3 linked regions of the Mus musculus genome follow. The protein of the gene in region 2 purifies or fractionates together with the protein of the main gene of each other region. This does not show direct contact. Links are inferred from orthologs where the notes say so. Each region holds a gene or a part of one and is shown on either strand. Other genes may lie near its edges.

Region 1 (4,226 bases), on a different chromosome or scaffold from region 2:
ATCCCACATCTTCAATCTTAGGCTTCTCCTCATCCTCCTTATCTTCCTCCTCTTTCTCACCTTTCTCTTCCTCTGCCTCATCATCACTGATCTCCTTCTCCCGTTCCTTCTCCAACTAAATCACCAATGACACATGTAATTAATTGTGGAGAATGTAGCACCAGCAAGGCCCAGTGCCATTAGCCTGCTCCAACACTGCCAAGCCCATACTCACATAGAGGGTGATGGGATAGCCTATGAACTGCGAATGTTTCTTCACCACTTCCTTGACCCTCCTCTCCTCCAAGTACTCTGTCTGGTCTTCTTTGAGGTGAAGGATCACTTTGGTACCCCGGCCAATGGGCTCACCTACAGAGAACAAATCAAGACATGAAAAACTGAAACTAAAATACAAGAACGAACTACGCTTTTTTCGTTCCTGGTTTCTCAAGCAAGCTAAGATTCCTGTGTAGCCCCTTTGCTTGCCTTAAGAACTCACCCAAGTGCTGGCACTCACCACCCCTTAAAATGTACTTTTATAGAATACAACGTCTAAGGTTTCCCCACAATGTAGCCTGCTGCCTCACCATGGTCTGCCCGGACGGTGAAGGAGCCACCCGCAGACGACTCCCAGGCATACTGCTCATCATCATTGTGCTTCGTGATCACAACCACTTTCTCTGCAACTAGATAGGCCGAGTAGAATCCGACACCAAACTGCCCGATCATGGAGATGTCTGCACCAGCCTGCAAAGGGTTTGAAGTAAAGAGGATCAGCAACATGGTTCTTGGCCAAGTATAACCATCTGCTGCGCAAGGTAACAATCAGTTCAATGTCCAGAGATCTAGGGGTCAAAGCTGTCCTGACCAACCACTTGTACTTTTTTTCTAATAAGTGTCCTAATATGTAATACCCTAGACAGACAAATTTTAACTTAAGCAGTAACAAATTAGAGGACGGTGTGGATGAAAGGCCACACACCTGGAGAGCCTCCATGAACGCCTTCGTGCCAGACTTAGCAATGGTTCCCAGGTTATTAATGAGGTCAGCCTTGGTCATGCCAATGCCTGTGTCCACCAAAGTCAGCGTGCGCTCCTGAGGGTTGGGGATGATGTCAATTTTCAGCTCTTTCCCACTGTCCAACTTAGAAGGGTCCGTCAGGCTCTCATATCGAATCTTGTCCAGGGCCTGTAGTAAACGCAAAAAGCCAGATTATTTTATTTTTCCAAACAGTCCCTCCCCCTTCAACATCAACTGAACTGTTCTTCTCAATCACTCCCACACACACACACACTTCCGTGAAGCCTTAGAAATTCAACAACAGAATACTCACATCTGAAGCATTAGAGATCAACTCGCGGAGGAAAATCTCCTTGTTTGAATAGAAAGTGTTGATGATGAGGGACATGAGCTGGGCAATTTCTGCCTGAAAGGCAAAGGTCTCCACCTCCTCCTCTCCATGGTGCACTTCCTCAGGCATCTAAGAATGAAAGAATTACTACTAAGGACCATTATAGACACACATTTTAATATCCAGCTCAAACTTCTTTAGTCTGGGAAAGTATCCAACCCAAAGAGACAAGAGCAGCCATTTTCTTTAAAAAAGGACATTTAAGCTACAATGGCCAAGACAAAAATGACAGAAAAAAACCTAAAAGATGGGTTTTCCAGAACAGATGCCCAAAAGTCAAACTCTTGAACATTGGCATGTTCAGTGCATAGCTCACTGACTCTGAACAGAACACCTGGCAATATGGTAAAAATCCAGACTAAGTTAACAATACATAAAAAAGAACCTCAAGCAACCCCTGGTACTCACACCCCTTAACTACAATCTCCTCATTGGGGTGAGGAACAACTTTAACAGAAAAAGCAGTCTTTTTTAATTTTTATTTTATTCCACCCAGCAGGGCAAGAGAACCTTGAAGCTGTAGTCTGGGAGGCGCTCACGGGGCAATTAAATCAGGACAAAGAAATCAAGAGCTCCACCGTGACCACTCACTGTGCAGACTTGCATAGGCCGGAACCCAAGTAAAATGGTGGCCCAGCCGTCCAACGACCCTCGTCACTGCCGGACATGCGTCGGCAGGAGCCACACGGGGAGGGGGCGCCATTGAAACCCTCCCACCGCCCCAGCATCCGGGCACTGGGGCGGGGCGCCCAGGCTTCCAGAACAATCTGAGCTCCGGGGAGGGGAGGAGAAAGGGAGGGACCTAGGAATCTTCTCGTGCCTGCTCTGTCTCTCCTCCCCCGCCCTCCACTGGGAGGGCAGAAAGATCTGGAAAGGGAAAGCGCGGTGGGTTCCGGCGTCCCTGCTGTGCACCCCTCCCCAAAATCAAGCACGTTGGTACCGGCGGCGTCCGGGGGAGGCAGCCAGGCCAACCTCCCCAGGCCTTGCTGAGTCACGCAGAGCAGCCCGCCACCGCGCGGACCCTGCAGCCGCGCCCGGAAGTGGAGGGCAAACATGGCAGCGTCCCGGGTCGGCGACTACCACGTGCGGCCGCCCACCACCTGGCCGGGCCGCACCCCCACCCCACGCTCCGGGGAATCCACCCGCCCCGGGGAGCCTCGCGTGCAAGCCCGCCGGGGTACAGCCCGAACCTCTAACCTCTAGACACGTTATCTCCACAGGCTGCCCCGCCGGGGAAGGAGGCTTTGGGACAGATGAGATGGAGGCTGGGACCCCGGGAAGAAGCCCCCGGAGAGCCGCCGGGGACGAGAGACCCCGGCCTTACCTTGACGGGAAAGCCGAGTAGTAGTACAGAGCAGGGTGGTGGGCCCGGACCAAGTCCGACTCGCACGGCAAGCCTAGGCTGCGCGGGGGTGACTCAAGAGAGCTCCCGAACGCCCCCGACCGCCCTATATAAGGCGAAGCACAGCCCGGGCCCCGCCCTTGGATCCCTCCGCCTTAAAGGAGTGGCTGCGGGCCACGCACCTGCCGCCGCCCGCCCACCTTGACGTCATGGTAGCAGATCGTGGAGGGGGCGGGGAGGAGCGGGACCCCGGGCCTGGTTCCTGAGTCAAGGCCAATTCAATATCGTTTTGCACATCCCCCATTTCTGCAGGAGTAGGACATGTCCCCCCTCAAGATGAGCAGGGAGCATGCATATGCAATTAGGGATGTATCTGCGGGCGAATACCCTACGGACTGCCTCAGAAAACTCAAGGTAGGCGCTTCCACCCCCCCACCCCCCAAGAGTCCAGAACTCAGGGGACTGAAAGAGAATGGAGGTGGCCAACTCGGCTGCCATTTCCAGACCCGATCTTACTAGAATGTTCCCTACAAATCGCACATCAAGAGAAAAGGATGATAAATTCCTTGTCCAACTTTAAGGAGGCCCCCGATTCCCCCATCCCCACCCTCCCGGGTACAGCACAGCTTCAGGCTGGGAGCCGCTTTCCCCGAGGGGAGGGGCACGGGCCTGGGCTGGTAGGGACTCTTTGGCGGCCTGCGGCGGAAGGATCAGCAGCGGTGGTGCTGCGATTTCTTCCAGCAGTTTCTAGGCCTGTCTCGGCGGTCTCCACCCCTCCCCCCTAGGCTCCACCTCCCCTGCTGCGGCGGGGGCAGTGTCTTCGTCGCCGCTTGGCTGGGTGGCTTTTTTTTTTTTTTTTTTTCCCCTACCTTGATCTTACCCTGGGAAGAAATTTTCCCCAAGTCTGCCTACCGTGGGCCAGGGTTGAACGACCCTCCACGCGTGGCCCTAAGAGGCCCACATAACAGTGGGGGAGTGGAGCGCAGAGGGAGGGATAGCTGACCTGGATCGGTCACAGGGCACGGGGGCTGTGGGGGTGAGTGACTGCGGACACCTTCTAGTGAACAGAGAACCGAGCTAGCAGCTTGCGCTACTGGGTAGAACACTCCCCACCCCTCAGCCTCCCCGGTCTCCCACGTACACAGCGCGCGGGTACGTGCGCCCTCCCTATGTGAGCACAAGCTGTTTCTCAAGCTGGTTTCGCTTCTCTAGCCTCTTCCCTACTGCATGCAGCTCTTTGGACCTAGAGAGGAGCAGGTCCCAGTCTTTTCAGAGAAGCTGGAGTTCTAGGCATCCGCATGAAGGTGCTGGTCACAGGTTGGCCCAGTTCCAGGAGCCAGAAAACCAAGTTGTGCCAGTGCCTCTGTTCTAAAGGTGGCCTGCCATGTCCTTCAGCTGGCAATCTAGCCTTGCCTTTTTCCAAGGCTGCATCTGGAAGCTTGTTGGACTGATGAGCCCTCCAGTAGAGGATGGGCACTCAGTGCTCTGCTATC
Region 2 (3,511 bases):
TAACCCTCAAATCACCATGTCTATGTAACTAAGAGAAACCATGTTTAAAGACCTAAAGGGAGGTATATGAAGCTAGCCCTTCCCCCAAAACATAGGCTATTAATAGTTAGAAATTACATAAAACAAAACAGGACCTTCTGAGGTCTAATGTACTGTAACTGGGATGTAATGTAGTGTACTGAAACTGGCACAGGGACCAATACCCTAAGAAGGCAGAAGAAAGATGCTATAAAGAGCAAGCCCCTCTATTTACTGAGCCATCTTGGTCACTTGTGAGCTGCTATAAACACAGCAGCAGGCTACAATGTGCATGTGCTAGCCAGTTGTCTTGGGTTTCTGTAGCAGTGGACTCACTTGGTTCTGTGGAAATTGTGAAGAAGTGTCAGGCTGTTCTAATCTATTTTACACCATTTCAGTTTCACACCAACATTGTCTGAGGATTCTAACTTCTCTGTGCCTTTGTCTACACTTATTATGTGGTTGATTTTGTTTTGTGTGTATGTGGTCTCAGGTATGAATATGTATGTGTTTTTGATTTAGGTTTCCTTGACAACCACTGTTGATAAGTATTTTCATGTGGCTGTTGACCATTGTGTCTTTCTTTGAGAAATTCATAACCAATCTATTGTCTGTTTTTTTTTTTTTAAAGAGTGACTGGTGTTTTTCTCGTTGCGTTGCAGTATTTCTTTAGTACTTACAGTAACTGCAAATGATTTGAGCACTGACAGACTAGAACAGATTGACACTTCCTCAAAAATTAAGAGTTGCCACAGGACCTGACACCTCACTCCCAGCGAGCTGGATCACCTGACACCTCACTCCCAGCGAGCTGGATCACCTGACACCTCACTCCCAGCGAACTGGATCACCTGAATTGATCCCTGGGGGCACTTGGTGGAAGGAGAGTCAACTCCTAAAGCTGTCCTCTGGCCTTCCAGGCAGGCAGTAGCACACATGCACACCTATGTGTGCATGCATTCATATACACACAATAAAATTAAACATCTTTTAGATGTAAAAGGAAGAAGTGGAAATTTCCCAAGTGACCATCAACTGAAGAAAAACAAGCAAATGTTGTATAGCCACTCAATAAACTACTGCTAGTGACGTGAGGGGTGGTGGGTGCTACTGCTGCGGTTACGCATGAACTTGGAAACTGTTCTGAGCATGAGCCACCAGGCACAAAGGCTGTCGACTACAGGACTCCACTGATGTGCAGCATGACATCCAGAGAGGAAACCAATGACTGCCAGCGGGTAGAGGGAGGGGGATGAGATTAAGTCACTTAATGTGGCTAGGGATTTCTCTTTAGAAATGTTTTGAAATTAGACAACAATGGTAAGTTGTATGCTTCAAAAGGGTGAGTTTTATAGTATCTTAATTCTATCTTAATAAAAAGTGTTTTAATGTAACTGAAGTTATACAGATCTCAAAGGATGCACGTTCACAAGAGTGAGCTGTACTGGGATTACAAACCCATGCTTCCTAACCGGTGTCCATTACACTACCTATGTGGTTATCAAGGGTATGTGTTTGTGTGTGTGTACCTGTGTGTGTTTATGGTGTGTGTATATGTATGGTGTAACTGTGTATGTTTATGTGTGTGGTATATATGTGTTTACCTAAAGAAGTTGAAAGGTGTGCCTATGTGTGAGTGTGCATGTGTGTAGTGTATATAGATGATGCATGTGTATGGTATGTATATGTGTGATGTGTGTGGGGAGTGTATTGTGTAGAATATGTGTGGTGTGTGTGTATATGTGGCTGCATGGTGTGTATACATAAAGAAGTAAAAACGTGTATGCATTTGTGTATGTATGTATGTATGTATGTATGTGTAGTGTGTGTATGTATGTATGGTGGTATATTTCTTGTGTGAGTGGTGCACATGTGTGGTATGTATGTATGTGTATGGTATGTCTGTTTTGTGTGTGCATGTACCTAAGAAAGTAGAAAGGCACATATGCTACATTTTAATGGAGGCTAGATACTGAAACTGACCTTGTAAAAGGTGGGAACGTGTCCAAATTTACAATACATTAAAAAAAGAGTAACAATGACATTTCAGTGAGAGGATTTCCAGAGCTCTATATCCTGTCACAATATTCAGATCAAGGGAGTGCTGCTGATGGCCATGAATGAGAAGCAGAGGAGGACAGGCCTGACGTCCAAACAGAGCCAAACGCAGCTCGGCTAAACAGCTGTGTTGAAAAACAATTTCTTGTCTAGCAATTAAGAACCTATTTCTTTCTGAAAGACACAGGACATTGGGTTAATAGATTTCTTTAGAAGAAAATCTGTTTTGGTGACTGAAACATTAAAAGAACAGAGCATCTGTTCCCAGCAAAGGCAGGCTGCACAGAGGCAGCAGGGACCTCGCGCCGACTGGACCCGAGTGCAAATTTTTAGTAAAAGGAGATTAACTTGCATTCTTGTTATTACACTCAAGCTACAAATATCTAATAGCAGGAACCCTAACAGAAGAGAACTGCCAGTGTAAAGAAGGCAGTTGTTAACACATGCCACTCACTCCAAAGTGGAATGGACATCTGTGTCAAGACTACATTTACGTCAATCGATTCAAAAAATCATTTTTAATGTAGTTTAAAGGGAACAACTCACCATCCATGAATTCTGTACAAATTGAAATCCTGTTTTCTACGAAAAATGCCCCGTAAAATCCTATGATATACGATGAGTCACACTGTAACAAAAATAAGACAAAAGTAGTTTAACACCTAGATGCTGACACCATGTGCATTTACATAGATAAAAGTGACCAAGAAAAAAATACCTTATAAAGGATTTCCAGCTCAGACATGATCTGCTTCTGAAGCTCCAGTGTAATGTCTAACAGAATAACCTGAAGAGACACAGCAGCGTCAACACATTCGTCTACCTTAAGTTACATAGCACGTGAGATACAAGAACTAAAGAAATACCGTGCTTTCTTTATGCAGCATCCCCATAACCCCAGCACCAAAAAAAAAAAAAAAAAAAAAAAGCTGTCTCTGAAGCTAAGCCTCTGCGCTGGAGGAGGCGGTACAGAGGTGATTGATGGAACCCTGGAAGGAGCCAGGTCTCAGAGGTCAGCATTAATGGCTTTAAAAGTCAGTTAAGTTATAACACTCAATTTATGTGCCCTATTTGAGCCACACCGGCTATTTTCAGAAGAAGATCATTAAAAGAGCAGAGCCCTGTGAGCAGGCACTCGGAGATAAGCAGAGGGGATGGTAAATAAAAGAACATTTTAAAATGGGATTTTCAGAAATAAAAGAAATGGGAGTTTAAAAACCCTGTCACCTTACTTCCTCCCATGTGGGTAATGTTTCTTTATAAATGCTGACAGACTTGAGAGCTGGAGAGGTCCTCACGTCACCTGACTCCCACGCTTAGCCAGGACCTCCTGACGGGTTGTGGTTTTCCTTAAGTATCTGCCACCAAGGTGGATTTTATAACACAGAAATGTCCAAGTATATGAACTTAACGCTCTTGCCCAGGGCAGGCTCGA
Region 3 (4,117 bases), about 42 Mb from region 2:
GCACACCTTTAGCCCCAGCACTGGGGAGAAGAGGTAGAAAGATCTGTTAGTTTGAAGTCAGCCTGGTCTACATAGTGAATTCCAAGACAGCCAGAGCTGTCTTATATACAGTGAGACTCTGGTGGGGGTGGGGGTGGGGTGGGAATTAAGGGCAAACATGATTAAAAAAAACAAATTGTATATTAATGTTTTGTCTGCAAGTATATCTGTCCACCACATGCATGCCTGGTGTAGTCAAAGGCCAAATGGGGACATAATATATATATCCTGGGTTGGACTTACAGATGGGTGTGAGTGGCCATGTAGGTGTTGGGAACAGAATCCGGGTGCTCTGGAAGACCAGCCAGTCTCCAAACTATTGAGCCAACTTTCCAGCCTCAATTTTGACTTTTTTTTTTCCATTTTTTATTAGGTATTTAGCTCATTTACATTTCCAATGCTATACCAAAAGTCCCCCATACCCACCCACCCCCACTCCCCTACCCACCCACTCCCCCTTTTTGGCCCTGGCGTTCCCCTGTACTGGGGCATATAAAGTTTGCGTGTCCAATGGGCCTCTCTTTCCAGTGATGGCCGACTAGGCCATCTTTTGATACATATGCAGCTAGAATCAAGAGCTCCGGGGTACTGGTTAGTTCATAATGTTGTTCCACCTATAGGGTTGCAGATCCCTTTAGCTCCTTGGGTACTTTCTCTAGCTCCTCTATTGGGAGCCCTGTGATCCATCCATTAGCTGGCTGTGAGCATCCACTTCTGTGTTTGCTAGGCCCCGGCATAGTCTCACAAGAGACAGCTACATCTGGGTCCTTTCGATAAAATCTTGCTAGTGTATGCAATGTTGACTTTTTTTTTTTAGAGTGTTGTTTGTATAACAACCCTGACCGTCCCTAAAATTACTCTGTAGGCTAGGCTGGCCTCGATCCGCCGGCCTCTGCCTCCGGAGTACTGGCATAGCGCCACTACCGCCCAGCCAATTTTGACTTTTTGACAGTGTCAATATGTAGCCCTGGCTGGACTAGAACTCCTGGAGAGCCACCTGCTTTTGCCTCTAGCGTACTTGGATTACCGTGGGCCACCACGCCCAACGCGACTAACCTTTTGTTTCTAAAGGATGGTCAGTCTGGTTTCGGCGGGAACTTCCAGAAGGCCTCACCACATACTCCTGGCCCTTTAAAGAAGACCTCCGGTTGCCAATGCCGCCGACTCCCGTTGCTAAGGACGTAACGTCCCGCGCCGACGCTGGGGCGGGGCCGTCCTGCGCGGCGCCCTGGGCGGAAGCGGAAGGGGCGGGGCTCGCCGAGCGGACTCTCTAGCCCTTGTGGGTCCCTGTTCAGCGCCCGGCCGTGTGGAGCCCCGGGAGCCAGTCCGGGCCTCCGAAGCGAAGATGGTGGACTACAGCGTTTGGGATCACATCGAGGTGTCGGACGATGAGGACGAGACGCACCCCAACATAGACACTGCCAGCCTCTTCCGCTGGCGGCACCAGGTGGGGCTGTGCGCGCTCATCCCCTTCCCCCCCACTCCCGGGACCCCCCGCTCTAGAGTTCTGACCTCTTCCCCAGGCCACCTGGCGTGGGGGCGGGGGAGACCTTAGTTATTGACATCTGGAGCCGCCTGCTCCACAATCTAGACTTTTCTCTTTCTTTTCTTTTCTTTTTCTTTTTTTTTTTTTTTGAAACAAAATTTCACTGTGTAACCTTCCCTGGCCTAGAACTTGCTGTGTAGAACAGGCTGGTTTCTAACTCACAGTGATCCTCCTGCCTCTGCCTTCCCAGTACTGGGATTAGAGACATGTGCCTTCATGCAGGGCCGGACTTTTTAATTCCATCCCAGGACTCCTGGCTTCTTCACCGTAATTCTTGACCTGTATCTCCAGGCGTTCTCTCTGTGCTATGGTTCTCTTCTGTTTGTAAGTTTATTTATTGTGTGTGTTCCCGTGTGCACGTGGCACAGCATGCCTATGGTGATCACAGGATAACTTGTAGAAGTTGGGCCTCTCTTTTCACCATGTTGGAACTGGCTGTGGAACTCCAGTCGCCCCACGTTGCCACAAGCACCTTTACACTCTGAGCCATTTTATCAGTTGGTAATACTTTAGTCAGAGTCTTGCCTCTCCCCATCCCCAAGCTGACCCTTGTGTGTAGGGTCCCCACTATCCTGTGCAGAACCTTCTGTTCTTCCTCAGAGTCTGGACCCCAGGTTCTGTTAGGTGATCTCATAGCCCAGCCACGCACCCACTTCATATTGCACGTCTCCCTTCTGCCTCTCCTCACTACTTAGAGTCTGGAGCCACAAAACTTCTGACTATGGCATCTATTTCCCAGGATCTTAGGCATGAATTTCTATTAAAGGCCCAGAGACGACCCCCTCCCCCCCCAACTTCCAAACTAAATGAGCCCTTAATTTAACTGTCAATCTTAGCTTGCAGCTGGGATTCCCCAGTCCAGGATCCCTTTCCCTGGGTTATAGACTTGAGTCCCACATGGGACATACCTGTAGAGCCCCCTTATCCTCTGTATTTGACCTCCATCTCCACTCTTGCCCATCATTCAGTTCCAGTGGCTCTCCTTATTCTCACCTCCTGTAGACTCTTATTTCCTGTTACTCCAGGAAACCCCACCCACCTAACTTCCTGTTAGAACCTCTGCTCCTTCTAGTATAGTAAGTAGACCCTCTCCTTCCCACCTTGGCTCCTATATGAACTGTAGCCATCTTTGAAAATTCACCAAACCAGGAGCCAGATGATGATGACACACATTTTTAATCCTAGCTCTCAGGGGGCAGAGGCAGGCAGGCCTGTGAGTTCAAGGCCAACCTGGTCTACAGAGAGTTCTACAGCTAGCTAGGGCTACACAGAGAAACCCTGTCTGGAGGGATGGGGCCGGGAGTCGGGTAGGATAAAGAGAGGGGGGAGGGGAGGAAGAGAAAGAAAAGACAGCTCACCAACCCAGAAAACCAAGCCTGTCCTGTCCTACCTGCCCGTTCCCTCCAGCTTCATCTGTCTCTCTCCAGGGTTCAGAGCATCCTAGTTAACTCTGGACCTCCCAGATAATGTTCCCACATAACCTTACTTTCTGAGCATGGTAGCACACCTGTAAACTCAGGTCTTAGGAGGAGGACGAGGAAGGAGGATCTGGGATTCAGAGTCAGTCCTCGATATAGGGCAAATTCTAGGCTAGCCTGGACTACATGAGACAATATCAAAAACCAAATGGGCTGGAGTTCAGTTGTATGGCATTGCCTTGGGCTCCATCTCTAGCACTGCTTAAAAACTAGCCATGGTGGGGCAGGCCTGTAGTCTGAGCACTGGGGAGAGGGAAGCAGGAGGGTCAGAAGTTCAAAGTCGTCAGCCACGGTAAGTGTGAGGCTGGCACAGGCTACAGGGGATCCTGTCAACCACCAAGCAAATAAAATACAGTCCTCTGCAGTTTTACATCTCTCCAAAACAGACGCCCCAGATTGAGACCTTAGAACCCCAAGTGTGAGCAAGCCATGCTCTTGCCCCTCCCTTGTGCCATCATTACCTGCAGGCCTGTAGCATACTACCAAGATGTGAGGGTGGCCTGGATGTGTGGTTCAGTGGTAGAGTACTTCTCTAGCGTGCAAGAGGTACTGGGTTCCAACTCTGTCGCAGCAGTAAAGAGACAATGGCCTAACCTGCTCCCCAAATTAAAACTTCTATACCCATATACCTGTGTGTCTTATACTCTTTGTTTAAGTTACATCTTAATTTTTTTGTGTGTGTTAATTCTTATGTATGTGTGCCGAGGTATCCTTGTGGCAGTCAAAGGATAACTTGATAGAGTCCACTTTCTCCTTACATGTGGGTTCTTGGGATCAAACTCAAGTCATCAGGCTTGGTAGCAGGCCTTTTCCCACTGAGTCCTCTCATTGGCCCCTGTGCTTGTTATACTCTCAAGCTGAGGGCAGGTACTTTCCATTTAGGAATTTTGCATCTCACCTTCTTGGGGAAAACTTCTCATTACTCCTAGAAAGTCCTTCCCCATCCTCCCCAAATCCAGCATTCGGCTCCCAGTCCCACCCACACACCTATTCCTTCCAGTTTCCTGGGAAGACCACCTGCCAGGCAGCAGTGTGTGGCAGCAGAGAAGCCCAG

What was found. Proteins that work in one complex are often made in the same cells at the same time.
Region 1: the proteins of Map2k5 (region 2) and Hsp90ab1 purify together in Homo sapiens (affinity purification with mass spectrometry; 3 studies listed by BioGRID and IntAct, with this or other methods). This does not show direct contact. The link is inferred for Mus musculus from reciprocal best matches to the Homo sapiens genes MAP2K5 and HSP90AB1.
Region 3: the proteins of Map2k5 (region 2) and Cdc37 purify together in Homo sapiens (affinity purification with mass spectrometry; 3 studies listed by BioGRID and IntAct, with this or other methods). This does not show direct contact. The link is inferred for Mus musculus from reciprocal best matches to the Homo sapiens genes MAP2K5 and CDC37.

The regions. Positions count from the first base shown.
Region 1 is NC_000083.6:45,570,452-45,574,677, forward strand, and holds the start of Hsp90ab1 (heat shock protein HSP 90-beta), read right to left. Parts: upstream 2,811-4,226; 5' UTR 2,716-2,810; intron 1,461-2,715; coding exon 1,314-1,460; intron 1,169-1,313; coding exon 962-1,168; intron 727-961; coding exon 567-726; intron 349-566; coding exon 215-348; intron 116-214; coding exon 1-115. UniProt on the Homo sapiens protein: Molecular chaperone that promotes the maturation, structural maintenance and proper regulation of specific target proteins involved for instance in cell cycle control and signal transduction. Undergoes a functional cycle linked to its ATPase activity.
Region 2 is NC_000075.6:63,290,902-63,294,412, forward strand, and holds part of Map2k5 (dual specificity mitogen-activated protein kinase kinase 5), read right to left. Parts: intron 2,864-3,511; coding exon 2,795-2,863; intron 2,705-2,794; coding exon 2,623-2,704; intron 1,875-2,622; exon of another isoform or gene 815-1,874; intron 784-814; exon of another isoform or gene 633-783; intron 1-632. UniProt on the Homo sapiens protein: Acts as a scaffold for the formation of a ternary MAP3K2/MAP3K3-MAP3K5-MAPK7 signaling complex.
Region 3 is NC_000075.6:21,147,125-21,151,241, reverse strand, and holds the start of Cdc37 (hsp90 co-chaperone Cdc37), read left to right. Parts: upstream 1-1,307; 5' UTR 1,308-1,384; coding exon 1,385-1,486; intron 1,487-4,117. UniProt on the Homo sapiens protein: Co-chaperone that binds to numerous kinases and promotes their interaction with the Hsp90 complex, resulting in stabilization and promotion of their activity. Inhibits HSP90AA1 ATPase activity.